5 linked regions of the Kluyveromyces lactis genome follow. The protein of the gene in region 3 interacts with the protein of the main gene of each other region in a biochemical or structural test. Links are inferred from orthologs where the notes say so. Each region holds a gene or a part of one and is shown on either strand. Other genes may lie near its edges.

The links.
Region 1: of the proteins of PAH1 (region 3) and NEM1, one has a biochemical effect on the other in vitro, tested with the Saccharomyces cerevisiae proteins (8 studies listed by BioGRID). The link is inferred for Kluyveromyces lactis from reciprocal best matches to the Saccharomyces cerevisiae genes PAH1 and NEM1.
Region 2: of the proteins of PAH1 (region 3) and KLLA0_F17006g, one has a biochemical effect on the other in vitro, tested with the Saccharomyces cerevisiae proteins (2 studies listed by BioGRID). The link is inferred for Kluyveromyces lactis from reciprocal best matches to the Saccharomyces cerevisiae genes PAH1 and RIM11.
Region 4: of the proteins of PAH1 (region 3) and PKC1, one has a biochemical effect on the other in vitro, tested with the Saccharomyces cerevisiae proteins (3 studies listed by BioGRID). The link is inferred for Kluyveromyces lactis from reciprocal best matches to the Saccharomyces cerevisiae genes PAH1 and PKC1.
Region 5: of the proteins of PAH1 (region 3) and HSL1, one has a biochemical effect on the other in vitro, tested with the Saccharomyces cerevisiae proteins (2 studies listed by BioGRID). The link is inferred for Kluyveromyces lactis from reciprocal best matches to the Saccharomyces cerevisiae genes PAH1 and HSL1.

The regions. Positions count from the first base shown.
Region 1 is NC_006041.1:1,649,992-1,655,683, reverse strand, and holds NEM1 (Nem1-Spo7 phosphatase catalytic subunit NEM1), read right to left. Parts: upstream 2,793-5,692; coding exon 1,668-2,792; downstream 1-1,667. Other genes in the region: MAE1 (malate dehydrogenase (oxaloacetate-decarboxylating)), read right to left, coding at 1-734; NAT4 (N-terminal L-serine N(alpha)-acetyltransferase NatD), read left to right, coding at 3,088-3,735. UniProt on the Saccharomyces cerevisiae protein: Catalytic component of the NEM1-SPO7 complex which acts as a phosphatase and dephosphorylates the phosphatidic acid phosphohydrolase PAH1. Essential for the formation of a spherical nucleus and meiotic division.
Region 2 is NC_006042.1:1,558,863-1,564,721, reverse strand, and holds KLLA0_F17006g (serine/threonine protein kinase RIM11), read left to right. Parts: upstream 1-1,615; coding exon 1,616-2,863; downstream 2,864-5,859. Other genes in the region: KLLA0_F17028g (uncharacterized protein), read left to right, coding at 297-815; KLLA0_F16962g (uncharacterized protein), read left to right, coding at 3,532-5,268. UniProt on the Saccharomyces cerevisiae protein: Serine/threonine protein kinase that is thought to function in regulating kinetochore activity and entry into meiosis. Could phosphorylate IME1.
Region 3 is NC_006040.1:830,333-837,352, reverse strand, and holds PAH1 (phosphatidate phosphatase PAH1), read left to right. Parts: upstream 1-3,134; coding exon 3,135-5,519; downstream 5,520-7,020. Other genes in the region: QRI7 (putative N(6)-L-threonylcarbamoyladenine synthase), read right to left, coding at 1-502; MME1 (Mme1p), read left to right, coding at 1,355-2,449. UniProt on the Saccharomyces cerevisiae protein: Mg(2+)-dependent phosphatidate (PA) phosphatase which catalyzes the dephosphorylation of PA to yield diacylglycerol. Required for de novo lipid synthesis and formation of lipid droplets.
Region 4 is NC_006041.1:577,470-584,197, reverse strand, and holds PKC1 (protein kinase C), read left to right. Parts: upstream 1-3,043; coding exon 3,044-6,529; downstream 6,530-6,728. Other genes in the region: SEA4 (Sea4p), read left to right, coding at 1-2,263. UniProt on the Saccharomyces cerevisiae protein: Required for cell growth and for the G2->M transition of the cell division cycle. Mediates a protein kinase cascade; it activates BCK1 which itself activates MKK1/MKK2.
Region 5 is NC_006042.1:1,252,775-1,259,669, forward strand, and holds HSL1 (protein kinase HSL1), read right to left. Parts: upstream 3,936-6,895; coding exon 132-3,935; downstream 1-131. Other genes in the region: metalloaminopeptidase APE1, read left to right, coding at 4,908-6,467.

The sequences.
Region 1 (5,692 bases), on a different chromosome or scaffold from region 3:
CCTGGGTGGACACCACCACAAAGGGTCATTAATGCCAATTTCGAGATAGCGATTCTGATAGCACCGATACCTTGATCACCGATACCTAGAATACCTTCACCATCAGAGACGACAACATAGTCAACGTCCTTATCCTCACCGTAAGCAGCCAACCGAGAATCAATACTGTCTGGCTCGGTAATGTCTAAGAAGACACCTTCAGGTTTCCTAAATCTGTGAGAGTATGCAGCAATGGCATCACCTTCAGTTGGGGTATAAATGATCGGTACCAGTTGTCTAATGTGTCTTCTGACCAATTCGAAGAAAAGAACCTTGTTCTGCACTCTCATCGAAGTCATGAAATCGTTCTTAGCCAATGGGGTCTTCAAGTAACAGAGTTGCTTGTAAGCTCTTTCCACTTGTTCATCCAAGGTGTTCACTTGTGGTGGTAGCAACCCATCTAGACCGAATGCCTTTCTTTCTTCCAAAGTGAAAGCCGATCCCTTATTGAACAATGGTGAATTCAACAATTGGAAACCTTCCAAAGGACATTCAATTGGTCCATCGACAGACAGTCTAGTCACTTTAGGTTGGGATTGTAACCTAGCAGCTTCTTTGCCAATTGGAATTTTATTGTAATGGCCGGACTCTGGACATTTCTTTGGAGCATTGTGCCTAGTGACAGAATAACGATTCTGGTTGGTTACAGAAGAATAAAATCTGGAACCAAGCAGTTTAGCGGGAAGTTTAATCATTGTTCAAATGGGATGTGGTTTCTTGACGCCGGATGTCTTTCTTCCAAATCAAACCTAATGAGTGATGATGAGTCTGAAAAAATCCTATCAAGAGATATATTTCCACTTTTAACAACAAAATTAGTCTACCTTATATATGTATATATATATATATATATATATATATATCAATATTGATTGCCGATATTTACAGCTTACAGGTTGCAGCTTAGAACTCCAACAAATGAATTACTGGCAACATATCAGAGTGGCAGCTAAGTCAAAAATCGCTAGCAAGTTACAAGTTACAACGGAACAATTAGTGAAATAAAGAAACAAGAAGGTATTTAAAATCGCTATCTTCGCGAAAATGGAATCCTCGACAGTTAGAAACAGCAGCACAGTACAGAACAGAAGAGGATTTATTACTCATACAACACAAAGACACAGGCTTATACAATACGCCTATATGCTATTAACGATCCATATCCTAACACAAACCGTAATTCGGTCAACGTATTAACCAAGTAGACACACCTTGTGAAGGTGTACAGCGCCAAGTTAAAGACTGGCGCCTTGTTAGAATCGCATCAAAGTGAGGGAAAGAAAGGAAGAACAGAATGCGGTCGCCGCAGAAGATCCAGTAGCGCGTGGTCGAAAGGAGTGAAGAAAAAAAAAAAAACTATCAAGCGTCACGTGGTACAGTGGAAAATTGGAGAGCAGTGTCGCAGCGCGTATGTATTCCGTATCCGGTCTGATCCGAGGTATGCCACTAGTGGCGTGTCTGGGTGTTCGGGTGCATTCGGAATAATTGGAGTAATTGGAGGAACATAGCCCTTTTCTTTTTCTTTTCTGGATGCCGGTTCAGGGATTACTTTCGGTTCCTAAATCGCTTGTCTACATATTCGCATCTCTACAAATTAGTACTATATTATGGACAGGGTAATAACACTGTTAGTTGGAGATCGATGCTCTACCTGATTTGAGTGCAAGTATACAGCGAGAGTCCGTCACGTGACGCATGGCCTTTAGTAGTGGCAATAGGTGTAGTAGTTCCGAGTCGCTTGGATCGTTGATCCAACCATGTACTTGTATTGCATTGTCCAGATGCATTGCGTAGCTGATAGGACTGTTATCAATGATAATCATTTGAGAGAGGTCACGTGACGTTTCGATTTGGGTTGCCACGGTACCGATGTCCTTCACGTAACCGACGCCAGGCCGAAGTGTGCAATCTTCTCTATACCATCTGTAGTGAAACTGTACCGAACACGTCTGTTGTAGCCAGTCGATTACTGGGTCTGCATACTCTTTCATGGATGCTGTGAAGATGGCAATGTCGTACCATTGGCTCGTCTGTTGGAGAAACATATCGCAATACGGTCTCTTGGCAACGTTATATAACGTGGATATGTTTGTCTGCGGGAATCGTACCTCTACCAGGTGTATCATTGGTGTGGTGCCACTAGGGTTCTTGTCTGTTGGGTTCCCTAACGATCTACTGTTACTCATGGAATGGATCAACGTTTCATCGAGATCGAGTACTAAAAGCTTTCGACTGGTAGAAAGTAGCATTGATTGGGGTACTAATTTCTTGGGGAAATGAAATTTCCCTAAATATTCTGTAATAGGTCTTGGTTTCATCTTATCCTGGTTTATTATGATCTCATCAGTCGGTGATAGATCCTCTTCTACCACGTATTTCGATAGTTTCTCGGTCCTACTGTCAGTTTCTGATCCTACCTGGATCAATCCTTTGTTCCCCTGCGTGTTGGTTTCCATTAAATTCAATGGGAATGTGATAACGTACCAGATCGTTATGATAGGTTTTATTAGCAAATAGTTTGGTAGGAATATTAATATGCACCATATCCATCTCATAAACGGTCTATTCCTTTTATTCGTAGCTGTTGACGTTGTTGTTGTTGATGTTGTTGTTGACGCCGTCGTCGTCTTGTTTTTTACTTTGTTCGGTTGGGTATTCGTGGGGGTCGGATCCACTAATATACCCTCCTTCTCTTTGATCGGCACTTCCTGCGGAGCAGGAAGTGCATTTGACAAAAAAGAGATCGCATTCATTGGAACACAGCTATGTTTTAAAGCCTCTCCTATTGATTGGTCAACGTCCCACTACCAAGGATTGTGACTATGTCTCACTGTTCAGTGTTCTTGACCTTATATTTGCGATTCACTGAATGTATATATTACTTCTTTTTTTTCCCTTCTATTTTCGGTTGGTTAGCTTCAAATATGTAGTGGCATGGAATATGTCAACAAAAACTGTTGAAAAGTTGGAGCTTAATACGCGCTGGTGAAGCATAATAGCAATAGAAAGAGCTTCTGTTTCAATAACCAGCTGTGATGGACTTAAGACATGTCCAATTACCATAGTAGAAACTTGAGACGTGTCGCAGGCGTACTCTGCCAAGAATTGAATAGCACTGGTGATTCGGATGTTGTGTGCGAGGTATTTAGTAATAGAGTACACTCTGGTGATCCAAACTATCTTGGTTCCACACTTCCGAAGTGCCTTGCCATTATAAAACAGAATTTGAGCACGTTCTACGAGCTGCATGGCTCATCGATATACAATTATACTGATGACGATAAAGGAAAGGGAAACGAGAAATGGATTAGGTTCAAATGGGATGAAATGCTGGATAAAGATTTAGTCTACATTGTTTTGTTCAAGAGAGATACCACTAAGATAGTAGGTTTTACATCAGTGGCATTATCCGACCCATTGAATCCAGAATTGGACCACTCCAAATTGAATCGGCCGTGTTTGTTCCTATACGAAATCCATCTGATGGGAGAATACCAGTCACGTGGCTTAGGGTCTCTTATTTTCAATGGATTACTTATCCCACTTGCACGTGACCTGACCTGTCCGTCAATTGAACTATGCGTATTCACTGCCAATGATGTGGCCTGTCGATGGTACAAAAGATTAGGGTTCCAACTTACCGTCGAGTTCTCTGAGCATCTCATTGGAATGAGCAGGGTTATCGGCGCCTCTTAATCTGAGGACCTTACAGCCTACACTGCAATGGTTTGCAGATGTTTTTCCATGCAGAGCACAGATATGTACATAACCACACGGAAAGAGGGTTTAACGCAATAAATAAAAGTACTCTATTCTTTTGAAATGGCTTACATTCCACGAGGATGTTCCTAACGGGCTATTGTATAAGAAATTTGTAGCATGTGCCCTAGAGAAACTGGAACCCTTAAAATGTATGCAGGGTCTTATCTTTTTTTTTTTTTCTATTTTTTTTTTTTTTTTGTGTTCCCTTTCTCTTCTATTGTGCATGAACGATTTAAGCTTTTGAAGGTACATTCTTCTGATGTAACTGTCTAATTACATCAATGGGAAGTTATCATAGCTTCGGTTGTTAAAAAGACGTTCAACAGTGGTGCTTTATCAACCTTAATGGTTTATTTACAGCTCCCAGTGGTGGTCAGCACATAGGGTGCACTGTCACACTTTGAACAAGATATGAAAAGCAAGAATGACATACAGATTTGCACCTAAACAATTTACCTAGTTACCCTCAAGGATTATTCTCATGAAAGACCGACGCTAAGGTAGGCGATTTGATTCATATAGCAAACACCCTTTTCAGTCGCATTCTGCTGATTCGTAGTTCGTAGCCTAAATTTGCCCTGAGGTATTAAAGACCTTCTTTTTTTTCCTTTTTCAGTGCAGACTACGAATTAAGATAAACTTGGCGTAGAAACGGGCGTAGAAAAAGGAAAAAACGTGTCAAGGTTTGTTTTAGTTTCGTTCACATATGAAGAGCAAGGAAGCAGCCCTTGCAGCTAGTTTGCAACCATTGTGCTCATCTTAGTTCTTGCCTATCTATCCGAATCGTTAATCACACCAGTTATTTGAAACTTCGCCCTCTCCGCGCTCCGAATATGAATGATTCAAGGACGCCAAGCAAACTAAAAGAATCTGATCACAAACACATACGAGGAGATATGATCGGAAGACCCGTAAACCCATCATCGTGAGTTGTTCGTGTATCGATCACTCTTCAGTTTCCACCGAGAATGAATAGAGTAAGGAGTATCACCTAGCTCCATCCCAATCATTAACCCCGTGCGAATCTTTCTAAGAAATGAGAATAAATACCACGTCAGCGAAAAGCCTAGGTCTGTAAAATAACTTACTATGATACCGGCCCGTTTTTCAAAGCTAGAATTAATAGAAAAAATTGCCATAACTGAACCCTGTCAGTAGTCTGATTTTTTCGCTCTTGGTTTCCGTTCGTCAAACAGCAAGGGCAGGCAAATTTTAGGCCCAGCAGGATAGCAGAAGCATTAATAGTCAAAAGACTGAAATACAAGTAAACCAAGAAAAATTAGTGCCGCAGGCACCAAATGAAACATACCTGTGTCCCTGTCTTGGATAAGATAATCAAAAACTAATGGGATCTTGAAGATTACGTATTTCAAAAGCTACTACATCGCTCCCAGTTTTTCCCTCACAGACACTGAGAGGAACAAAAGGAAAAACAAAAAAAAGAAGTTAAAATTGAAAAAATACCTCTCGATGACACAGATAAATACATACATAACTACCATTCTTCCTAGTGGATTATTTTGCCTAATTCAGCCCCTGTTTTTCTTTTTTTCCCATTTCTCCCTCCATTCCTTAGAGTACCCCACCGGTTTGGCTTAGCCTTGGTACTACGGAAACTACACTGGTTTTTCCCTTGTCTCTCTCTTTCAACACGGTTCAGCCGTGTGCATCTTCGAGCTTCGAGCATGATCCACTTAAAAACCCAAATTAAAACCGGAAAAAGAAAAAAAGAAAGTATATGAGGTAGACTAGAGAAACGAGGAAGCTTGTCTTGTGCAATATGTGGATGCAGCCATTTAATATATAGCCCTCTCATAATTGACAGCGCAAGGAGAGTGAATTTCAGTGAATATTTATTCGCTCTCATTTCAAAGAGAAGCTAGAGTGAAGT
Region 2 (5,859 bases), on a different chromosome or scaffold from region 3:
GGGACATTGGACATTCTCCCCCATATCTCCAGCTTTTTTTTTCATTTCTTAAGAACCTTAATGCACAGAGTGGAAAGCGATTACGAGAAGCAAGCAGCACAAACCACAGTTGACATATTACTTGCACGACATTTGTGTCTGATAAATGAATTTACAGTAGTGATGAAAAATTTGTGTAAATAATTCACGCGTATATAACACCAGAGGTTGATAAACTCCATCGTTTAGATGACTTCACCAAGAACGAGAAAAGCCATACCCCGACCAGTCGTAACCACCAGCAATACAGACGAAAGATGTTCAAAAAGATTAGAGATAAGATTCATCCAACATACAATCCTGAGGGCATCACGTGGACCAGACGCAAGTCTGGTCCACAAGTGGTAGCCGAAGTACCAGTTGTTGTCGACAAGAAAACTGGACAGAACGGCAAGGCCAAGAGCAAGAGCAAGGATAAAGCTGCCGGTGCACTACCTTGTCATGACAGATACACAGAAGAGCTCGATGTCGAGCTCGTTGTGAAACAGCTCAGTTTGGAAGACGAACTGAAATTGGTACATGATGTAGCGATGGAATCCATCGTTGCGTCTGACATTTCATCACCGTCGTCTTCATCGACAACAACGGCTTCCTCTGACAAAAATGCTAAACACGTGACATCCAAAGCTTCGTCTACCGTTCCGCCCCACAAACAAATTACCGGCAATAACGCCGCCCCATCACGTCGGGTAACAAGTATGTATACAATTTTCAATTTGGAACTTTTTTTCCGACCCCCTTTCCCTATCGGCACCCTTTGCTCCATTTGTCCTTGATCCCTGCCTAGGTGGCCCCTGAGTGGCTTCCCTGCTTGGTTTCCTGGATGTGATCGGACTAACGGAGAAGTACTCACGAACTTCCACTTTTCCCTGGCATCCGGTTCCAGGAAAAACTATACTATTTGAACAAGCAATCTTCTTCCTATTAAGTAATACTACGAAGGGGCAAACTGTTCAGTAGTCTGGCTAGTCAGTTCCTAGATTATTCTGTCAGACAAAACACTTTTCTTGCTTTCTACGCATATACAAGGGAAGGCTCTCAACCCAGTCATGCTTTCAGGCAAAAAAAAAAAAACTATTTCGATTTCTCTCTCCTTCAATTTTCCAGTAAGCTGATTCGATACAATAAATGTCTGGACTAACAAAGCAATTTGCAAGCAGTTTTAGTTTACTCTTTCCGCTTAGTATTTATTGTCTGAATAAAACTTTGAGAAAGACATGAGGACATTGGAAAATTTTTCATTGAGCCAGACAAGAAAGACGATAAAACTGTTGTTTTTAACCTGATTCTCTCCCCCCCGCATAATATTTTGAATCGGTGTGCGCGTGTGTTTGTGAGTGCGTGTGCTGAATATTTTATTTTACTGGTCTTAGAAGACGTTGCGTGTTTGAAGTTTTTGGAAAATTTGGTGAAATTTAAGGTAAAAAAAAAAGAACACCAAGAACAAGACTTCGCATATAACAATTAACACACACAGACAGATCAATCACTTCTTATCTGTTGTGAGAGAGAAAGGATTCAGAGAAAAGTGTGCATGTCAGCATAGTTTTAGTACAATACTCCTTTTTTTTTTTGAATGAAAGTTGGTGAATTGCTCGAAAGTAGCGGTGCCGGTGGTTCAAGATCTATTATTGCATATACTAACGATAAAAACGCTGGTTTTGAGACAGAGATGGATTCCATTTTACCCAGTGATGATTTAAAACAAGGCAGTCTTCATAGTAAGAACAGTCATGGTAATGATGTTAAAATCGTTCCAGATGAAGACGAAGTAATAACCCGAAGGACTGTGGTGAAAGGCCATTCCAACCCCGAGGAGTCAGTTGTTATTTCATGCGGCACACCTGAAATTGTGGGAAATGGTTCGTTTGGTGTCGTTTTCAGAACAAAAGTGAAAGAGACTGGGGAGGATGTTGTCATTAAGAAGGTTCTACAGGATAGACGGTTTAAGAATAGAGAACTGGAGATCATGAAATTGATCAGTCATCCGAATTTGATCGATTTGAAGTACTATTTCCTTGAACAATCGGACCAAGAACTTTATCTAAATTTGATTGTAGATTACATGCCCATGTCTCTTTATCAACGGCTCAAAGAGTTCATTTCCTTGCATCAACCAATGGATCGTTACGAAATCAAGATTTACATGTTCCAATTGTTCAAATCTTTAAACTATTTGCATCAAGTGGTCAATGTCTGCCATAGAGACATCAAACCACAGAATATTTTGGTGGATCCAGATACTTTACTGTTGAAAATCTGTGATTTGGGGTCTGCTAAACAGTTGAAACCAAACGAGCCCAATGTGTCATATATTTGCTCCCGTTACTACAGAGCCCCAGAGTTGATCTTTGGTGCTACCAATTACACAACAAAGATTGATATTTGGTCTGCAGGTTGTGTTATGGCTGAACTGCTATTAGGACAACCCATTTTCCCTGGTGAATCTAAGATCGATCAATTGGTTGAAATTATTAAAGTTTTGGGTACACCAACCAGGGAAGAGATCTGTTCCATGAATGAAAACTACTCCGAACATAAGTTCCCTCAGATCAGACCGATCCCATTGAATAGGATCTTCAAGAAGGAAACACAGGAAACTATAGACTTATTATACCATATCATGAAATATGATCCTAATATCAGATACAGCGCTTTACAATGTATGTTCAATTCGACGTACTTCACTGATATCGTCAGCAACACCGGGTCGGACTCAAACCTTTCGTTGATCGATTCTTTACCATTGCTACATTTTGAGGAAAGTGAATTACAAGGGTTGTCATCTAACGATATATATAGATTGACTGGCAAACTGATATAGAACCGACAAGACAAAAGGAAAACTAAAAACAAAAAAAAAGACTAGTTGAGAGAAGGAAATATGCAAATACAAATGCATTAATGTAACGTTCTACCCAGCACATCCAAAGAAAATGAAATTAATACACGAAATTAATGTGCATACAAATAGTTACTTCTCATATGCCTACTTGTTGCAGGCAACACCGTTGTTCAATGCTATCCTACGCTCCCCCCCTTTGCATATCATATTTCTCTTCAATTTTAAAGTTCATTTCAATGTCTTTCGGAAAACCTATAGTTCTATCCTGTCCCTAATAGTGTTCATATTGGGCAGTGGATTCTTTTTATTTATGTTAAGCATTCCCTATTCCTCACTAGGAAAAGGGCACTTGGACATCATAATTCTTCCTTTTATAGCAATACTTTTCTTTCTAGCTTCCGTCCTACCTTTTTCATACCGGATTTCACCTTGTCAGTTCATAATAATATCAATACTCACCTATTAAGAGCCACATGACGTGCGTGCGATTGAGTACTTAAAAACTACTGTTACCTTTTGTCCATCGTGTAACTTTGCATTTTCTTTGTCACATTTTCCTGTACAAGAACTAACTTGACAAAATTGATTTTCCTTGAAGAGAAGTCGAATTAAAAGTTTAACAGGAATATACTGGGACGGACAAAAAGATGGAAACCAAGACCCTGATACACTCAGGGGCTGCTAAGGAGATGAGCTATACTGAGAGGTATAATGTCGCACCGCTAATACCTTTGCCTGAGTATCTTTTTCATAGATTATTTCAGCTCAACTGCCGTACTGTGTTTGGAGTTGCCAATTATTCAACTGCGAAACTATATCAAGCCATAGCAGCCAGCGGGATACAGTGGATCCAAACGATAAATCAATTGAACACATCATTTGCAGTAGATGCATACGGGAGAGCTATCGGAGTGAGCTGCTACGTCACTAGCGAATCTGCAGAATTAGGCCATGTTAATGGTTTTTTTGGATCATTTTGTGAATATGTTCCCATCTTACAGGTAGTCGTCTTGGAACAGTCTCATGATCTTGAGAGGTTGATTGGAGATGTTTCAATCTTTCATGACGTAGTGGATGATCCTTCTGAGATAGACAGTTGTGTACGAACGCTTTTTTGGGGGAAACGCCCTGTTTATATGGGCCTCCGATCGAAGGATGCCACGAAACTTGTCCCCAGTAGTTCTCTAAACGGAAACATAGCAGATAAGATGGGCATAAAGAACACTTTCTTTCAAACGGACACAATAAAGAGGGTTATAGACAAAATCATTGCCGAAGTTTACGCTTCATCAAGGCCATTGATCGTGGTTGATGCATTAATTGATAGATATAATTACAACAGCACAATACAAAATTTCCTAACGGAAACAGGAATACCATTTGTGACAACCTTAATGTCAAAAGGTTCTATTGACGAAAGCTTACCCAACTTTGTTGGGACTTTCTTAGGTACCATGTCACAGCCCATTGTTCGAGAATATATGAATAATGCAGATTGTACGTTAATTTTAGGATGTATGATCGAAAACTTCAAAAACTCGTACTGTAGATTCAACTACAAGAGTAAAAACCAAATCTTACTTTGGAATGATAGAGTTAAAATTGAAAATAATATAATACCTGATATTTTACTTCATGAACTACTCCCACAGCTAATAGCGTCATTAGATACTACCAAAATAGTAAACTCTCGTCCAGTAACAATACCGAATATGATACCCAGAGTAGAACCGCAACCGGTGACATTTTTGCGACAGGAGTACCTTTGGTTTAAGATGTCTACATGGCTAAAACAAGGTGACGTTATTATTTCTGAATCTGGTACCTCAGCTATTGGTCTCCTACAACAAAAATTCCCAGATAATACTAGGCTAGTATCCCAAGCAATTTGGAATTCATCTGGTTATTCTATCGGTGCATGCCTTGGAATTTTGGCAGCATATCGCGATATGGGGACATTGGATAAGCATAGGATTATATTAATGGTGGGTGATGGGTCTTTACAATTTACTTTCCAAGAACTAAGCACCATATTGACGCACGGTTTCAAACCTTACATTTTTGTAATAAATAATCAAGGTTATACCGTTGACAGAACCTTGAATAGAGAAAAGACCCATCTGAACGCTACATACTTCGATATCCAACCGTGGGAACTATTAAAACTCCCGTCACTTTTCTATTCCCAAGAGTATTTCAAGAGAAGATGTATGTCGGTTGGGGAATTGAATAGTTTATTAAGCGATAAAGAGTTCAATAAATCCGATCAGTTGAAAATTGTAGAACTAATCCTTCCATCCATGGATGTTCCAGTACTACTCGATCCACGGGATGACAGTAGTGATGATGAATCTTCTCCGCAGCATAAAAGACCCAGAACGTGAAAGGAGAAGGGTGAAACAGATATCAGAGAACTTTCACGCTTCAAATATATATATTATTTAATAAGCACTGAACACACAAGTACCTGCTTGGTGATCAGTCTCAATGTTAACCGCATTACCATTAACAACACGGCACGCTTTTCGTATCGGCACTAACGAAGAGCACACCAAAAGTCACGTGTGCATTATACCGATATTCACGCAAAGAACAGAATGAAGTAAATAAATACTCTATTGATGTCAAATACAGATAATATGAGCGAAAAAATATCATCTTCTCAGGGTAACACTGATCAGAGATATTCCAGAACCATTACCATTAAGTTAATTGTCACGTGCCGGTCAGTACGTATCACGTGACTGTAACATACATCAGCCAACCAATCAGATCGCTTCCGTTCACAGTGACGTCCAACCTCTGACAAGAATTGCTTTTCCCCACGCTTTAATCCCCATTAAGATTACCCTGCAGCAAAACGCACAACGGGAAACCAATGAGAAAAAAGTCTCAGAGGCTTCACAGAATTTGGCTCATCTCGTGTCTTGACCGATGTTCCCGAAATGATAGACTTGTTTCGAAGCATTTTTTCG
Region 3 (7,020 bases):
CAGTTGAAAGTACCAACATTGTATGCCCACCACTGACAAGTAACGTTATAAACGGGTACTGAGGTTTCAAACCATCAGTCTCGAGTCTCGGTATCAACAAATGGCCTAACATATGGTGAACACCAATGAACGGTTTGTCCCATGCAACAGAGAGGGCTTTTCCAACGTCTAGTCCCACAGATAACGATCCTGGCATCCCGGGACCCCTAGTAGCACATACCAAATCGATCTTATTCTGTGATTTCGTGGTCTTTAGTGCAGACTTGACCACTGATGCTATATTTTTCTGATGATGCTCATGCGCACGGGTCGGTATAACACCGCCATACTCTACGCTGTCTAAAGTGGACTTCAAATGGCACAGCACGTCGGCTGGCCTATCCTTTGTCCCACGATCCAAAATCGCTACACAGGTATCATCGCATGACGTTTCAATCGCTAAAACCCGGTATGCTCTTCGAAAAACCAAACTTCTCGGTAGACTCTTGTAACAATTAAACATTGGCCAGGAAGTATCAACGAGAACCAGAGGATTACAGTCCGATGTTCATTATTTTATCTCATCTCATCGCATGGGTCGTATAATAAAGCATAGAAGCGATTTCTCTTAAAGTTCCTTTAGTCAAACATAGACACAGACACCTTTGCACCATTAACACTTTTTTTCAGTTTCGAGCATTTTTCGATTTTTCAGATGTTACAATTTTTGAATGAAAAGTTAATAAAATTCATGAAGTAATCTAGAGCACATCATTATTTCCAGAGTCCGAAAAGCATCCTTGGGAGGTATTGCCGACAATTAGTAACTGTGGGAAACTAAAATCGGTCTGATACTTGTTTGTCGTTCGTTTGTGGACTTTTTTGAGGGCGTTTCAGTGGATACTCAATCTCTGTGCTGGCTTTGTTTCCCAAATTAAGCAAAGTTAAGAAAACAAATAGGCCTAGTGCCATTATCTTGTGAGAACTGTCGAATAGCTTGACATTTTCTCTGTGGCCTTTTATTGTTTGGATACATTCTGATATAGCAACTGTAGGCAATTTTTCCAATTAGAATTCAATAGTGATTCTGTGATAGAGATACCTGAAATCTTTGAAACGGAAGGGTCGGAAATTAGCAGCGCATAACTTGAAGAAGAAGGTGTTTCCTACACGTTGAAACCGCCATTTTTTCAGTATCAGGAGTGGTCCTTTTCATACTTTGATAGAACGTTAAGTGCCAGCTGTGCATCTTCTTCATTGTTACAATCTCTGATTTAAGATCGAACGAGGAACTACAACGGGCAGAAACACACAATTGTTAACGCAATAATAGTGAATTACTGATTCTGTGACATCCTGTGACATTTACAGCCAGATGTTTTCGTTATCATCTTCTATTCCTGTAGTGGGAACTCATGACCACCCAAGTGAAGGTATTCTTAAATCACAACAACAATCAAAACGTCATGGATCGACCGTACCTCCACCATCCGGTGGAAAAACAAATGCAGATTCCACAGAAAATGCCTATTCACCAATTGTGCATTGTATGTTGGCTGGTGGTATCGGAGGAGCCATAGGTGACTCTGCTATGCATTCATTGGATACAGTAAAGACAAGACAACAAGGTGCTCCAAGCACAGTGAAGTATAAAAACATGATTGGTGCTTATAGAACAATTATCCTGGAGGAAGGGTTGCGCAAGGGTTTATACGGAGGTTACTCGGGTGCAATGCTCGGATCCTTCCCCAGCGCGGCAATTTTCTTTGCTACTTACGAGTACACCAAAAGAAAAATGATTGGTGAATGGGGAATAAATGAAACTTTCTCTCACTTAACTGCAGGGTTCCTTGGTGATTTCATTAGTAGTTTCGTGTATGTGCCCAGTGAAGTGTTAAAGACCAGATTACAATTGCAAGGCCGTTATAACAACCCGTTTTTCCGCAGCGGCTATAATTACAAAAACCTCACAGATGCCGTCACAACCATTGTGAGGCGAGAAGGATGGCCAACTTTATTCTTTGGTTATAAAGCAACCTTGAGTCGGGATCTACCGTTTTCTGGGTTACAATTTGCATTTTATGAGAAATTTAGACAACTTGCATTCGCAGTAGAGAATAAAACGTTTGATGAAGATTTATCTCTGAGTAACGAAATAATTACCGGTGCTGCTGCAGGTGGTCTTGCTGGTATCATAACAACTCCATTAGATGTTGTAAAGACAAGAATCCAGACACAGCTACCAGATATCCCTGAAAATAGTTCTCAGAATTTAAAGCAGCAAACGTTGACAAATTCCATTACGAAAGGCATGATGACCGTTTACAAGACAGAAGGTCTCGCTGGATTATTCAGCGGTGTTGGACCAAGATTTATTTGGACAAGTATACAAAGTAGTATCATGTTGCTATTATATCAAGTTGCATTAAAAACCTTGGACAGTAAGCTTTCAGATGAAAAGAAACTTTAACACCTGACAAACTATCCCCACCATCTTTATGAATCTCGCTTCGACAAATCACAACTGTTTATTCAACTGTATCACTATTCCTGTACAAAATTGCTGCTCTCATCAATAAAATGAACTCGTCGCTCAATTGCAAGTGATTGCGCGCTTTACACATTTTAATCAGTATTATCTATCTTTACGAATCATTAGAGATAAACTACTCGGTTCCTTTTCTCATCTGCTGGTGATTTTCCCAAGAATACACCTCGTAGCTAAGCTTAACATAAGGACGTACTGAACATAGTCTCCCTTTAAGAAATCCTTGTATATACATTTTCCATATTTCTTATTATTAAAGACATTCTTATAAGACGCCTTTGCTGGGTTATAATTGCAACTGTATTGCCTGTTCACCTGGCGATCACTCTTCAAATTATAAATCCATCTACCTCATTGAATTGTTCAACATCTCTATTCTTCCTTTTCCTGCATACTTTAATGTTTAGAATAAACGTTGGAAAATGTATGTAATAAAATGAAAAAGTGTAAACGATGTTATTTAAAGAAATGAAGCTAATATTGAAATGTCACAAAACGGGTATAGGTTAATTGGGGAAAGATAACTTCAAAACGCGCCTTTGCAGATAGTCTGATAAACTAGACGACACAGAGGCTTTGTTCTGACCATCCGCGATATTCGAAATAGATGCAATACGTGGGCAGAGCTTTTGACTCTGTATCGAAGACATGGTCTTCGATCAATCCAGCAACATTATCCGGAGCAATAGATGTTATAGTGGTAGAGCACCCTGATGGCGAGTTGGCATGCTCGCCATTTCATGTTAGGTTTGGTAAGTTTCAGATCTTAAAACCATCTCAGAAGAAGGTAGAGGTCTTGGTTAACGGACAATCAACGGACATCCCAATGAAGCTTGGAGATTCTGGTGAGGCTTATTTCGTGTTTGAGACTTTAGCTGACTTGGAAGGTATCCCAGACGAATTGATATCTTCGCCTGTTGTTAGCGCTGCCAGTAGTCCTGAGAGCAAGCCAACGACAAAGGATGATGCCCTTGAAGAACCCGACTTTTTAGATATCAATGATTCAAAGATTGAGAGACCAACTACACCGACACCAATCCAAAGAATTACTAAAACGCTAACACAGAAACAGATACCATCCACTGTTGATAATAATGGAGATCTATTACTTGATATTGAAGGTTATAAAACGAGTAAAAATAAAGTAAACGACACTGATGAATTGTTAAAACAGCTGTTGTACGATGAACTTGGAGAAGATGTAGACTTGTCAGAGTTTGTGAAGGAGGATGAAAAGGGAAACATTCGGATAGTGAACCCAACAGATCCATGTTGGGCTACTTCTCCTCCCAATTCTCCACCTATGACATCGTCGGACTCCTTGTATTCCGAGCATCAATCGGTCCTCGGTTACTCATCAAATGAAGGAACACCATCCTTTAGCACCGATAACAGTAGAGTTGAAGTCCCATCGGCTGCAACTGCAACAACACACTTTATCAAAACTATCAGATTAACGTCCAAACAGTTGAAATGTTTAGATTTGTCGAATGGTGAAAACGATTTAACATTCTCGGTAGATAAGGGACGAGCAATTATCACAGCAAAACTTTTCTATTGGAAGTGGGACGATCCAATTGTGATTTCCGATATTGACGGTACAATTACTAAATCTGATGCCTTGGGTCACGTCCTAACCATGATTGGTAAAGATTGGACTCATCCTGGCGTTGCGAAGCTTTTTACAGAAATCAGAGGGAACGGCTATAACATCATGTATTTAACTGCCAGGACGGCAGGACAATCTGATTCCACAAGATCTTACCTAAGAAGTATTGTACAAAATGGTTGTACATTACCCATTGGGCCGGTTATTCTCTCGCCAGATAGAACAATGGCAGCATTGCGAAGGGAAGTTATTCTAAAGAAACCTGAAGTGTTCAAAATCGCATGTTTAAAAGACATGAAGGCATTGTATTTCCCAGAATCTAATAACCGAAAAGATGATGCTGATGAGATGCCAACTCCTTTTATTGCTGGTTTTGGCAATCGTATCACAGATGCCTTGTCGTATAGAACCGTTGGTATTCCAAGTTCTCGTATTTTCACTATCAACCCTGATGGGGAAGTACATATGGAATTACTAGAGCTAGCAGGATACAAAAGTTCCTACATCCATATTAATGAACTTGTAGACCATTTCTTCCCGCCTGTCAAAAAGTACCCATTTGTCGCTGAAGATGCTCGGAGTATTTCAACAACTCCGGGTTCGCCGTATGGAACAAACATAATGCATGATGAAAAATCATTCTATCGAGCCAATGATGAGAAGTATACCGACGTAAATTACTGGCGAGAACCAATTCCCGACCTTGATGAACTCTCTGATCTAAGCAACGATTCTGAGAAGGCAACCTCTCCATCGAAAGAAATTTACAACGAAGGTATTAGGAACAGTACAACCAATGGTACTGCTAACCAGACTAACAAAAATAGATTGTCTGTGCATGAGCCTCGGGAAGGCAATGACACGGAACTGTTGTTGACACCTCGGAGAAAAAGTGATCCTGATAATATTGGACAAAGGATGTACCTGAACCTGGGATCGCCGTTATCATCTCCTGTCCTCAAGGTACAAGACTCTGATCTCGATATGAATACTAATTCACCTTACAATAATGGATATTCTAATAATTCTGAACTATCCCAAAAGAACCAGCAGCCTTTGAAAAGACATTCATCTAGTGAAAATAGTATTTTGACTTTTGATCATCTTTCTGCCCGCACGCCTTCGACGCTAGAAGTCCAACCGGTTAATGTATATAACGATGGATCGGGACCAGTAATGGGTCAACTGCAGTCGCAAACAAGCCGTAGAAATACTAATTCATCGAATTCAAACAATAACTCTTTTGATAAGGAAATACCAAGCGATGAAAAAGGACATAATCCGGATCAACATTTCTCTGAACAAGAATCTTTAACAACAGATCAAGGTTCCGAAAACATCTCGGATGAATATGAAGATGAATTTGATGAAGACGAGTTTTGACTATTTTTCAAGGAACTACAAATACAGTCCATCAGGATTATACAGACATTATGTACCTCAGTGCAGAACATCATGAATTTAATGACGGCATGAGTTGAAAAGCACGAGAGTAAAAATGCCCAAGAATATTGCTTGCAATACCCCCAGTTTTGAACTGTTACTATGTTGGGAGTCGGATTAACATTTCCTCATTCATTCAAAGTACCTAGTCACTCGTATTTAGAAATAATATAAACTTCAAATCGGAATGACCCATATATGTAAAAAATTTCTAACCTAGTTTGACAATCTTCCTATCCAGCTGATGGAGTAATTTCAATATTTAGTAATGAAATCGCTTACACCTGTTGGTAAAATTTTGACGGAGATTGATTTCTACATTTTTATTTACTTCTATGTCTTGTCATGTCGCTGGATTTAAATAACATTGCTCGCCTGGGTAAGTGGTTCTTTTACTTACTATTTAAGACGAAACTACTTCTCAGTGAACGAAGGCTATTATTACATTACTGAAGCTTCTAGTAACCATGACATTTTCAATAAGCTTCTAAGCGTCACGGTCATCATGAATTGTCGAATGATATATTACTCTTGTGAAACTATTGACCACAAAACATGACCATAACTCAATATAAATATCTCTCCCTGCCAGAAAATTTTTACAGCATGGTTCTTTGGTTGTAAACATTCCACAGAAATTAGGCAACATGGCCGAGCGGTTAAGGCGAAAGATTAGAAATCTTTTGGGCTCTGCCCGCGCAGGTTCGAGTCCTGCTGTTGTCGTTATTTTTTTATAAGTTAGACTTCTTAACATTTCTTTTCTTGTACAACGTGTGTTGGCAACAAATCACGCTACATAATATATACCGCGTTTGTGGTTCCTAGCAGAGGTTTTGTTGAAATAATTCAAACTGCTTTTTTACCATCTGATTTGGGAGAGCATTACTGTGAGTATTAGCTGTTAATTGTATCCGATTGCACGTGTTTTTGACAAGCGTAACATTGATACCCCGGGGTAGCCGATTTTATAACCATACCAGTATTTCATTCAATAATTTTAGATATGTCTGTTCTACGGAGGACTATTGATCCAATAGCATCTCTGTGCACTCCAGGCTTAGTAACGAACAGGAGTCCCTTCTTGTTGAAACTGTGTAATGTACTGGTCGATATATTCTGATTAAACATCTCTTCCTACAGAAATTGGGCAACATGGCCGAGCGGTTAAGGCGAAAGATTAGAAATCTTTTGGGCTCTGCCCGCGCAGGTTCGAGTCCTGCTGTTGTCGTCATTTTTTTGTTTATTTAAAAACTTTTTTGTTTTAAATGCAGCAATAGATTTTAACGGTGTTTTACATATTTCAAACCCAAAGTTGTATTTGCGCTGACAATCAATTATTATCGGGGAATGTAAATCACTGCTAATCGCATCTTCAGAAAATAGTTCAGGACCTTCGCTTAACAGTCTCCATTATATTTATCAATTGGATATATTTAAGTTT
Region 4 (6,728 bases), on a different chromosome or scaffold from region 3:
TGGTACGTTGGCCTTTTGGGATAGAAGAAAGCTAGCAAGTAACTCTGAAGACACTGAGTTTTTGGAGGCACAACCATTACTTAAATTTGACAAACTTGTTGGTCATGGTGCAGCTTCTAGAAAATATATGAATTCATGTTTCAGATGGTCTCCATTGAGAAGTGGAGAGTTTTCGACATTACACGCAGGCACTACAATTAAACGCTGGAGATTGGCCAACGTACCAGATTTAGAGTCGAATAACGAACTAAATGATTCCTTGTTCGTTTCCACGGTGAATGACATTAAAACGACTTTTGATCGTGTTGTTACCTTCGATTATATACCCAAGAGTACTGGCAGAACAAGTCTTCTATGCATGAGACAATCCGGAACTATCTATCGGATGAATGTCGAACAAGGATTTTCACAATCGAAAATCAATAACTACAATAGCATAATGTCTATCTCAGATCAAAACAATGATGTCAACGAATTGAGAATAACAGGTGAGGATGAAGTTTCATTGCTGGAAAATTTAGATACCGGGCTAAAAAACTTGTCTTTCGAAGACCTGGATACAGGAGATGACTTGAAGATATTAACTCTGGATGAAAAAAAATCATCCGGAAGTATGGAAGATGACGGCGATTACTTGAGTGATTCTGAAGACGTTAAAGAGTTTTACATCGAGGCAGAGAAGCTGTTACAGAATGATATAAGTTTTATAATGCGTAAACGCGCGAGTCTGGGATATGGTCTTGATCCAATGAAAACTGTCGAAATGATGGATAAATCCGATAACTTCAATAACAATATCTACATTCGCAATACTTGGAGATGGATGGCGATAGCGAAGGCATCCATAGCTGACGGAACAATGGTTTCAGGAGACTTAGATTTAGGCTACGAAGGCGTTTTAGGGATATGGAATGGTCTTGAAGGTCTCTCCAATCAGAATCGTTATAGATCTGGAGGAATGCTCACAGAAAAGCAGTTAAACAAGGAATTGGAGAAGATCATTAAGATGAGAAGCAAGAGTAAAAACAAAATTGGGAATGTTTCCAGTTTAAATTCCGAAATGTCATCAAAAAAGGCCATTCAGAGAAGACTCTGTATGATTATTAGTGGCTGGGATTTGTCTCCTTCAGATTACGAAGAAAAATATAAATCACTAATAGCTCAAAATCACTATGAGAAAGCTGCTGCCTGGGCTGTCTTCTTCGGTGACGTTCAGAAAGCTATATCTATTTTGGGATCTGCAAATAAAGAACGTCTTAGACTCATTGCTGCGGCCATTGCAGGTTATCAAGCTTATAGTGAAAAGCCAGGTGACAATGCATGGAGACAGCAATGTAGAAAAATGGCTGCTGAGCTTGATGATCCCTATTTGAGAGTCATTTTTGCATTCATTGCAGACAATGATTGGTGGGATATCCTGTATGAGAGCGCTATCTCTCTAAGGGAAAGGCTTGGTGTTGCTCTTAGATTTCTAAATGACACAGATCTAACCAGATTTTTAGAAAAAACTGCTACTACTGTTATTGAAAATGGTGAACTAGAAGGATTGATCTTGACTGGTATAACGCCTAATGGTATTGATCTTCTACAATCGTACGTTGGAAAGACTAGTGATATTCAAACTGCTGCACTAATTTCAGTTTTCGGCTCCCCAAGATACTTCATGGACCCAAGAGTTGATGAATGGGTTGAAACATATCGCCATATGTTAAATTCCTGGGAATTTTTCACTATGAGGGCCAAGTTCGATGTGCTCAAGACAAAATTATCTAGGACTAGTGATGGTCGAATTACAGCGAAGTTAAAACCTCGTCAAATGTATTTACAATGTTCCAAATGTAAGAAGAATATCAACAGACCCATTGATGTGTCTTCTAATGCATCCCTACCAAGACATGCTAATCAAAACTTAAATGCAGGAAAGAAATTCGGCCTCAATAATACAAACGGTGATGTCCCCCAACAGAAACATTCATGTCCACATTGTGGCACGCCTTTCCCAAGATGTGCTATTTGTCTCTTGCCATTGGGTACTTCAAATCTCCCCATAGTCATCAATGGCACCACCAACTCATGTGAAGTACGAATCGATGACGACGCGAAAATTAACGAGGTCAAGGAAAGAAAGCGTTTGAAAATGAACGAATGGTTCAGTTTCTGTCTCAAGTGTAATCATGGTATGCATGCCGGTCATGCAGAGGAATGGTTTGAAAGACATTCAATTTGTCCTGTTCCTGGGTGTTCGTGTTTATGCCATCAATGAAACACTCTACCAATATTTCGGACCTAAACGCTCTAGGATAAATCATTAAACTTGTTATTCAGCGTATATAATCTCTTTAATCCTTAACCTCGCCAAAAACTCATTTCTCCCACTATTAGTACATACAAATATCTCATATGCAGATATCAAGCGGCTGAACGTTGCTTTCAGAATGAATCATTACGCATCCACAAAATAATGATACTAGCAACGCAGTACCATACTTGGAAAACTTCCCCGAGCATATTCATCGAGTTATAGGATGGACCGTGGTTCAGCGATGGAACTTAAAGCCATCTTTTCCATCATTGCCCACCGTCATTCGCATGAGCGCAAGCCTCTTCACGTGACTAGTTAAGATTCCCCGATCAGTTGAAATGCGTGAGCTCTATTTCAGGAAATCATGTGGCGAAACTAAGAAAATAAAAAGTTTGATCTATCCAGATACAAACAAATATATGGTTTTTTTTGATCTCAACAATATCTTTAAGGATACCAAAAACTAAAGGAAAGAACGACTATAAACAACGGTTTATTAAGTCAGTTTAGTTGGGACTTTTTTTTTCGTTGAATATTTCTCTTACAAACATTTTTTTCTCAGTGGTTTGGGATCTTAAAATATTGGTATTCTGGGCGAACACAGCTTGAAATTGTTTCAGATCAGATCCTGTCAAAGTGGTGCGTTGATTCTATTTCATGAACTTATAAGGCACCAACTAGCCATCTAACGTATGAACACTCTGAACTGAGCATAAAAAGATATTACTATTGTATGAAACTATGGATGAAGATCGTAAACACACTGCATTCCCTGTTGAACAGGACATCTACAAAAAGATCGAAAGGGAAAGAAACATTATACTGGGTTCGAATCAATTGAAGAAAAAGACTGATAATGTCATGGTCATACAGAAATGCAACACCAATATTAGAGAGGCTCAACAAAATATAGAGTACTTGGAACAAATTCTAGCTAAGTTGAGAGTCAGTCAACAGCCAGACAATACTCCTACCAGCCAGAATGCTAGCAATCATCCCGGTTTTGGTCAGCTATCTACAATATCACCAGATGAGTTTAGATACTCTAGACTAGATCTGGTAAAGTACGATTGTCCATCTTTGTCGCAAAGAATTCAATACATGCTCCAGCAGTTGGAGTTCAAATTGCAAGTTGAAAAGCAATATCAAGAGGCTAATGATAAGTTAACTAAACTCTACCAAATTGATGGAGACCAGCGGAGTAGCAGTGCTGCACAAGGTGGATCTGTTGAATCTAAACACAGGATTCAGCTCTTAACAAAATCATTGAAAAAATATCAGGCCATCAACGTTGATATCGATCCTTTCAATGATCACACAGAAGAAGCAACTCAACCAAAGTTTAGGAGAAAACAACTATCAGGTACTCTGACTATCGGTGTTACTGCAATTAGAGATGTTGATCATATCCAATCCCCTCTATTCTCGAGAAAGCCAGAGACATTTATTACTATCAAAGTCGATGATGTGGTAAAAGCGAAGACAAAACCATCGAGAAATGATAGGTGGCACGAAGATTTTAACATAGTCATAGACAAAGGTAACGAGGTAGAAGTTACAATATATGATAAGGTTAATGACAGAATTGTACCAGTAGCTGTCATGTGGTTATTACTTGCCGACATCGCTGAAGAAATTCGGAAAAAAAAAGTCGGTCAACAGCAAAAGCAAGGAAAAAGCCACGCTGAATGGATGCAGGCCTCTAGACTTCCACCTTCTCAACCTGCGAATAATACAGCTGTAATTACAAAGGATTTACCGCAATTACCCGATGCTGGAATCCCCACGGAGGATAGAGAAGCAAACGACACCCACACGCAGAGTTTAACCACAAATACATGGTTCATCTTGGAACCTGCCGGGCAAATATTATTGACACTTGGTTTCAATAAGTCAAACACTACACAAAGAAAGACCTTCATGGGTGGATTACATCGTCATGGTGCTATTGTCAACCGTAAAGAGGATATCTTTGAGCAACATGGGCACCATTTTGTCCAAAAATCGTTCTACAATGTCATGTGCTGTGCATATTGCGGTGAATTTTTACGGTATAGTGGCTATCAATGCCAGGATTGCAAGTTCTTATGCCATAAGAAGTGCTACGCGCATGTGGTTACAAAATGTATTGCTAAAACAAGTACCGACTCAGATCCTGACGAGACGAAACTTAACCACCGTATCCCTCATAGGTTTGAACCTGTTTCAAATCGGGGTACGAAGTGGTGTTGCCATTGTGGGTATATTTTACCATGGGGTAGAAAGAACGTCAGAAAATGTACTGAATGTGGGGTTATGTGCCATGCTCAATGTGCTCATTTAGTTCCAGATTTCTGTGGTATGTCGATGGAAATGGCCAACAAAGTTTTGCTAACTATTCAGGATACTAAGCGTACTCAGCAGCAGAGAGGATTCAGTGGCATCAAAGTGAATAATAAACCCAAACCAATTTCTAAAGGCTTTGATGGGCTAAATAACAGGTTTGAGACCTCTTTTGATCATGATGATATGCATACATCCGTTATCAAGCCAACTACGCCTTCAGAAGCAAGAAAAGACCTAGTGACGGATCGTTTGAATAACTTTATAACGCAACATGATAGCCATTATGACTCATTCACCAGCAATGTGGAAACCAGCTCGCCAGATCACGGGAATTACCAACATAGCTTGGACCCCGGTTTGTCTCCTGATTCAATGAAAAAGATTCAATTCGATGCTGCTCATATAAGTAATCTTCCGCAGGCTCATGCGCAAGAGCATTTTGCGCAAGAATATGAAGGAAATTATGAAAATAAGCACCCTAATAAGCAAGACAGCGGATACGTACAAGATTATGGATATGAAGAGGAATTAGACGATTCAGAGCAATCTCACTATGAGCTTAGAGAGAGATTGAGAAAGGAAGAAGAAGAGAGATGGTACAATGAACAAAACATGTTACAACAAGAGCAGCAACAACAAACATACAGTACTGGGGACGTTGAGCTTGCCACCAAAAAGGGTGATTACGACATAATTGAAGAAACCGCCGATGTCACAGATGATCAATATTCACCGCCAGCCCAATATGAGGACCTCGAATACAGTCTCTCTACGACAGAAACTCCTGAGTTGCATGCCGCTGATATTGCCAACATAACAGGAAAAAGTTCACCATCTTCACCACAAAAATCATACACCAGCAGTACAAAGCATAAGAAAAAATCCTCCAAAAGGAGAAAGGTGTCTCTAGATGACTTCATTTTACTAAAAGTATTAGGAAAAGGTAACTTTGGTAAGGTCTTGCTAGCAAGATCCAAAAATACTAGTAACCTTTGTGCGATTAAAGTTTTGAAAAAGGATAATATCATCAAGAACCATGATATTGAAAGTGCTAGGGCAGAAAAGAAAGTGTTTTTGCTTGCTACGGAAACTAAGCATCCGTTCCTGACAAACCTATACTGCTCCTTCCAAACAGAAAATCGTATTTATTTTGCAATGGAATTCATTGGAGGTGGCGACTTGATGTGGCATGTCCAAAATCGAAGACTATCTGTCAGAAGAGCGAAGTTCTATGCTGCAGAAGTTTTACTTTCCTTAAAGTACTTCCATGACAATGGTGTTATATATCGTGATTTGAAACTAGAAAACATTCTCTTAACTCCCGAAGGTCATATAAAGATTGCTGATTACGGTTTGTGCAAGGATAATATGTGGTATGGGAATAAAACCTCAACATTTTGTGGTACACCCGAGTTTATGGCGCCAGAAATCTTGAAGGGCCAAGCGTATACAAAAGCAGTTGATTGGTGGACTTTTGGTGTATTGTTATACCAGATGCTGTTATGTCAATCGCCGTTCTCTGGAGAAGACGAAGATGAGGTCTTTAATGCCATTCTTACCGATGAACCCTTGTATCCAATTGATATGGCCGGTGATATTGTTCAAATTTTCCAAGGCCTATTAACGAAGGATCCCGAAAAGCGTTTAGGTGCTGGTCCTAAAGACGCTCTTGAAATCATGGCGGAGCCGTTCTTTAGCAATATCAACTTTGACGATATTCTAAATCTTCGTGTTGAACCACCTTTCGTTCCCGAAATCAAGGCCGCAGATGACACATCGTACTTCGAAAAAGAGTTTACTTCGGCTCCTCCAACCCTAACACCACTACCATCCGTATTAAGTTCTGTTTTACAAGAGGAATTCCGTGGCTTTTCCTTCATGCCCGAAGACTTGCAGTTATAACCTGCCCGTGTGTAGTTACATATACTAGATTTTGCTCTTACGCCTCTATTTGGATGGGCGTTTCTACGTTTGTAACTCTATAAGAGCGTTGCATTACCCATGATCTGAATAAGCAAAAAGTAATATGAAGAAATATACAGTGAATCAAGTACAAATGTGCTGCTGTTTTTTTTGATTCAATGAAACTACGTACGATTAC
Region 5 (6,895 bases), on a different chromosome or scaffold from region 3:
AATTTTTAAACTAACTTTAATACCAGACTTATCTTTGAATTGACTGGTATTGTCACTACTAGCATTAATTTATGTGTATTTTTTAAGATATATATATATTATTCTATTGTTACAAAGTTTTACAGATATTTTTATTCTTCTTGTGCACTAATTGCACCGGCAACGTCTTTATTGAACCGTTCAAATGATGCCATAGTATCCTTATCGTTAACGAACCTCTTACTGCGAGTCTCCAGACTTAGCACTGTCTCCGTACCATTCATGCATCTCATCTCAACGGTAAATTTACTCTTGGGTCGATTTCTCTTAATACCACCGAAATTGCAATCGTACGTCACGTACTCTTTATCTCCCTTACGTTCCATCTTTTTTAACTCACAATCTACACCATTCTTACCGAATTGCGTCATGAGTAAGATGTGAATGTTATCAAACGGTATACTTGAGGTCCGGTATTCATATACTGTCCGCTTTGGTTTCGAGGTTTTAATCCGTTGTAATAGTTTACTGAACCAATTAACGGGGGAGGAAGACTTCATACTGGTAATTGGTTTCACTTCATCCTCTTTGATCTTTGGTAATTTGTTTATGTAGTTGGATTTCCTTTTGCTGCCAACGTTATTTGTCGTCGTACTGTTGGCATTTAGCGTCGGTTGTCTTCTTTCTGCGGCAACGGGTTTGAAGACCTGTTCGGATTCAGAACTTCCGTCATCAAATAGTAAAGTCACCCTTCTAGTCTGACCTTGACCATGGTTTCCATCATCGTTCTTTTGTTCTTCTGTTGATAGGTCCAGGTTATCGCCATTGATAGAAGATACAAGAACAGTGGAATTTCTTTTAACGGTAGTGCCGTTTGTGTCTTCATTGGTTTCATTTTCGACTGGACGTGTATCTAATGCACTTCCTAGGAGTCCCAGTCCATTATCGTCATATTCAGCACGGCTTTCATCACCGTCGAGATCTTTGAACATCGAGATCATAGAACCGGTGATGGTTAAATCTCTGTCACCATTCGAAAATCGCTTTTGTTTGATATCTTTGATGGGACTCAATTTGAACTTAGATATAATTTGTTCTGTCGTTTCCCTTGGTAAATTATCCAGCTTATCCATTTGATTGATGTATAAACTGACTCTTACATCCGTTGCTGGTGTCAGGACATGACTTGTATCGATTGAATCGATAGAAGCAGCTTTTTTCTTCAAGTTAAGCTGTGACTGATCGATCATTGACTCAGAAGTAGTAACAGATTCATTAGCATCGTCTGGAGCGTCTTCGAAAATATCGATGTCACCGGCTGTTGTGACCGCTGGTGCAGTATTGACGTTATAATCGTCATAATTGGAACTGGTCTCAAACCGGTTCGAATCATTTTCAATCATCAAAGTTTGATTTTCCGAGAGTTTTTCATGATCAGTATTAACAGGATTAGATGCCTGAGTAACTGGTACTTTATCCTCATCGATATTCATGATAAACTGAGAGAGATCTTTGAATGTCATTGACGAATTGATCAACGACGATGGCATGCGTAAGAGATCAGGCTTAATGTCAGTCATAGGTGTACTGGTAGTTAACACGGTTTCCGGTGCTGTCAACTTACTTGGATTAGTCTTCTGCCTTTGCAATTGATTTTCACCTTCCGAAGAACCTTTCCCACCAAACAAAGCCTGCGCCTCTCCGCTTACAGTCCAATCCCCACTATCTCTTAGCTTTCTAATGGTAGATCTTGACTTGATTCTCTGTGGAACACTGACCTTCCTTAGAAGGTTCTCAAGTGATGGCTTAGGTTTGTTACGTTTGGGGTCCAAAGATGAGACATACATGGACTTGGATTGGAATGTATTGGTCATATCCTTCAACGGAGTCATAGAAACAGGAACAGTCGCTATTGTGTTATCAGCCGTCTTCCGTTTCATTGATGTCACACTTTGTCTATTTTCTGTCTGTGGCTGATTGTTCAGTTTTGGTTGTGCCAGTATATTCTTCGATGGCTGCGTAAGTTTTTCATTCTGTTGAGCTTTCATGTGCTGACCAGATTCACCGAGGAAATTATCCATCGTTGCACCATGCACAGACGTACTTCTATCATAATCGTCCACAATAGATTCAAGTTTGGATGAAGTGTGCTCCGAGGATGAAATAGAAGGTAAAGGCGGAGGTGGATATTCATGTTGCAACTCGTCATGAAGCAATTCGTTCAAGTTTATTGAACGTTTAGAAATAGATTGCAAAGAGTACAACGATCTCTTTGAAGCTGAGTTTTGTAACGTTCTTTTCTTTGGAGTGGTAGGAGTCAATGACTTCTTAGAGCTGGATTTTGATATCGATTGTGAGGAAGATTTTGCGCCAAAGTTTGGTTGGAAAAGTTTTGAGGAGGAGGAAGAAGCAATGAATCCCTGTTTTGTCTTCTTTGGAGATTTTGAACTTCCATTTTTCAAGGAACTTATCGAGAAATGTGATTTCTGGTGGATCTTTGGAGCCTGTAGGGTACTAGATTCAGAACTATCAGATGATATTTGTTGTCCAAAGGCCGATATTGTTGGAGCCATCGATGCTGGCAGTACAGTTCCGTTACTTGATTGTTGTTGTTTTTTCGCTGTATTTGTTACACTATTCACATCAGATGAAATATTCAATGGACTGACCGAGGAAGCGGACGATGTTTTCAACGTAGGAACAGGTATTAAATCCTTTTGCATCGATTTCTGTTGTTTCTCCTGATAATTCCATAGTAAAGAATAAAACATTTTCTCTTCAGTGAATCCTGGTTTCATAAGTCTTGTCACCAAATGTTTCCTTGCAGCACCGTGCCATAGGATCTGTAGGTTGGATAAGATTGTCTCATCGATGTCCCTTTCCGACGAAAAGCTCACAATATTTGGAGTACGATTCAACAGATTCAAATCCGAATTAGACTTACTGCGAGATTTCTGATCATATTTCGTCAGCAACTCATGCTGTAAGATTTGGTCAATAGTAATTCTTCTATTTGGATCTACCACCAGGATTCTAGAAATTAAATCTTTAGCCTCTACCGATAACCATTGGGGCATCTGATATTTTCCTGACTGTACTTTCAACAACAATTTCTTGACGTTATCGTCGTTAAAGGGTAAATGTCCAGTCAACAGGGCGAACAAGATGATACCACAGGACCAAACATCACTTGGGGATCCATGATATTTCCGACCCAGAACGATTTCAGGAGAAGCATAATGTGGTGAGCCACACGAGGTCTCCAGCAGTTTATCCGAAGTCTCTAGGGCAGCCATCCCAAAGTCTGCAATCTTGATAGATCTCTTTTTCTTATCCAAAAGCAAATTCTCTGGTTTCAAATCACGATGACAAATATTGAACCCATGGCAGTATGCTACAGCTTGTACTATCTGTTTGAAATAATGGATAGCCTCACTTTCCGGCAACTTCCCCTTCGAGACCAAATAGTCGAACAATTCACCACCTTCAACATATTCCAATACCAAATATAACTCAGATTTGTTTTCCCATACCTCGTAGAGACCCATCACATTGGGGTGCGAGATAAGCTTCATAATGATAATCTCACGTTCGATCCCATATGGCAGCTGTTTGATCTGGTTCGACTTAACGAATTTTTTGGGAACTATCTTAATCGCTGACAGTTTCCCCGTTTCCATATTCTTTGCTAGACGAACTCGACCCGATGACCCTTTCCCCAAAGTCTTACCCAATTTCCAGGGACCTACCGTATCGCGGTTTCTCCTCTTCGAAGTCTTGGTATTATTAACATTAGCATTCGACGATGCAGTCGAAATCTGTGAAAGACGCTTAGTAGCGTCTGTTACTGACTGAACAACCCTATTCAAATGTTCATTATTTGCACGATATGGGACCTGGCCGTGACTAGAATTATCCTTCATTGCCACAACGGCAGCTTGAACAGCACACGACATCTAGCACAAACAAAGCAAGCGAGTGAAATTGAGAAAGCAAAAGAGCAGAAGAGAGCGTGTGTGAGTGTTTAAGTATGATAAGCGAATGTAATGATTGGAAAATAAACACACTCTGTGATCAAATCAATGATTCTTCTTCTTCTTATTATTATTAGTATTCTTCTTCTTCCTTATAATTCAAATGGTAGACCTAGCCTTGTAATTTGCAGTTCCAGCAGAGCGACAAATCAGCGTTACTGATGATGTTAACGTTGCTTGGTGTCTTCTCTCTTGGATGTTGTTTGGTTTCAAATTCTGATTCAAACATTGTTATGTGTGCATATATTTCATGAAAGGGCTTTATTTGGTAAATAGTTGAAGTCATTCTGCACGACTAGTAAATACTAGCAAGACGCGAGTTTGAGCTTTGTTCGCGAAGACGAAGACGCGAAAACGCGAAAATTGGCAGAAGCAGTAAAGTCGAGAACATGGCAAGTTCAACTTGCTGTGATAGATTTGAACCAGGGCTTTCGGCGCTGGTTCAATAATTGTGTTGGTTGCTGCCAGTGTGCTGGCACGGGCACGGGCATCAGCACTTTTGGTTTATCTGAATGAAATATAGGCACAACCACGTGACCTTTGAATTTACACGGCCGAAAACAACTAGATATTGTCACGTGACCTTTATCAATTCTGTTGCCTATACGAACTATGACTTAAACTTATCCATGATATCTTATAGCAACCATCTCGCACCACTCTCCCCTGAGAATAGTAACTAATTGATCTTCAACAACGCTTAATAACGTTACTATCCCTCGATATTCACACTCCGCTCCCAATTCAAGTCATATTTCGCTCGCTGTACAGGACTCTGAATTACTTTTAACGTCTATCGATCACAGTTTCTTCTTCTCCCCTATATTAAAGATAAAGACACTGATAACATAACAGCGCTCAAAGAGACAAACACCATCCGAAAAGTGCAACCCAATGACAGAACACATCGAAATAAGCAAAGAAACTATCAACGCTCTAAGCGACGTCTTGAAACAACTAGCCGTCATTGAACCTAGGTCAAGAGACGTTAACAACCAAAATGACAAGGTTACCAAGAAGTCGACTAGTAAGCAAAGCCAATTCTCGAACAAAGCGACGTTCAGAGAGTACTCGCAAGAGTACATAGATTTCACATATGAAAACCCTACCATTTACCACGTCGTCAAGTATTTTGCCAAGAAATTGGAAGAGAATGGCTTCGGTTATCTCAGTGAAAAGAGTTCTTGGTCCAACGTTGAACCGGGCCATTACTATACGACCAGAAATGGTACAAACCTCTGTGCCTTTGCGGTGGGACCCGAATGGAAACCTGAGTTAGGTGTTGGTATCATTGGTGCCCATATTGACGCCTTAACTGCGAAGTTGAAACCTTCTTCTAAGAAACCTGATGTGGAAGGATTCGAATTGTTAGGTGTAGCTCCATACGGTGGTACTTTAAATGAACTGTGGTTAGACAGAGACCTTGGGATCGGTGGTCGTGTCCTAATTAAGGACCCTGATACTGGTAAGATCAGTTCGCATTTGTGCAACTCGGCTCCACACCCTATCGCTAGGATTCCATCTTTGGCACCACATTTCGGTGCACCAAGTGTTGGTCCATTCGATAAGGAGGACCAAACTGTGCCCGTGATTGGCTACGTCGGTAATGGAGACTACGATGATGATGATGAGGACCACGACGTCGAGGATGAAAAGAAGAGCCCGTTGTACGGCAAACATAGTATCCATTTATTGAGATACATTGCCAAGTTACTATCCGTTAAAGTGTCTGCCATTACGCAATTTGACTTGGACTTATTCGATGTGCAAAAGGGTACTTTCGGCGGTCTTAAAGACGAATTCATCTTTGTTCCTCGTATTGACGACAGAATCTGCTCGTTCAGTGCCATCAATGGGTTGATAGAGCACAAGAAGACTGGCCATAAAAAGGATGGATTTAACGTCGCAGTGCTTTATGACGACGAAGAAGTTGGATCGTTGACAAGACAAGGTGCTAAAGGTGGATTGTTAGAATCAGTGGTCGAAAGAATCGTTGCTAGCAGGGGAAACGACGTCTCTGAGACGCGTACGGCATTCGCCAACTCTATCATCATCTCTGCAGACGTCACACACATGTTAAACCCAAACTTCAACTCAGTATATTTAGAGAACCATAAACCAAAGCCAAACGTTGGGATCACCCTTGCATTGGATTCCAACGCTCATATGGCTACAGACGTTGTTGGGACCGCATTGGTGGAAGAATTGGGTAGATTGAACGGGGACAAGATCCAATACTTCCAAATCAAGAACAATTCCAGATCTGGAGGCACCATTGGTCCTTCTTTAGCATCCCAAACAGGTGCTAGAACCATTGATATGGGTATTGCTCAATGGTCAATGCATAGCATTAGAGCTACAACTGGTAGTAAAGATATCGGCTTGGCAGTTAAATTCTTTAACGGATTCTACAACGACTGGAACCAAGTCTACCAATCCTTTGGTGATTTGTGATTAAAATCATAACTCACCTCCATTTCTATAAACCCCTACTACGGTTACTAATCTTACTGAAATATGATCGTCCTAATGAATTGGGCCCACATGTCTGAATTTGAACTATGAATCTTATACGCAAAGACATGCAATTCATACCTCATCATAGTACTACATAACAAAACTATACCAGTTACACCAGATACAGGATGGCCCTACGAATTACAACCTCCATCAGGACAACTCAAACCTCTGGTCCTTTGGTCTTCTCTGTTTCAAGCCTTTATGGATCACACTGTATTTACATTTCTAAAACTGGTAATTATAGTAACAAAAAAATTTTTGTGTTATATAAATAAAGAACACATATGGTATAAATATAAACTGGACTTATTCACTCAGGGTTTTATGCCAAGCGTTCGAAAGGAAAGAAGCTAACAAAGGAT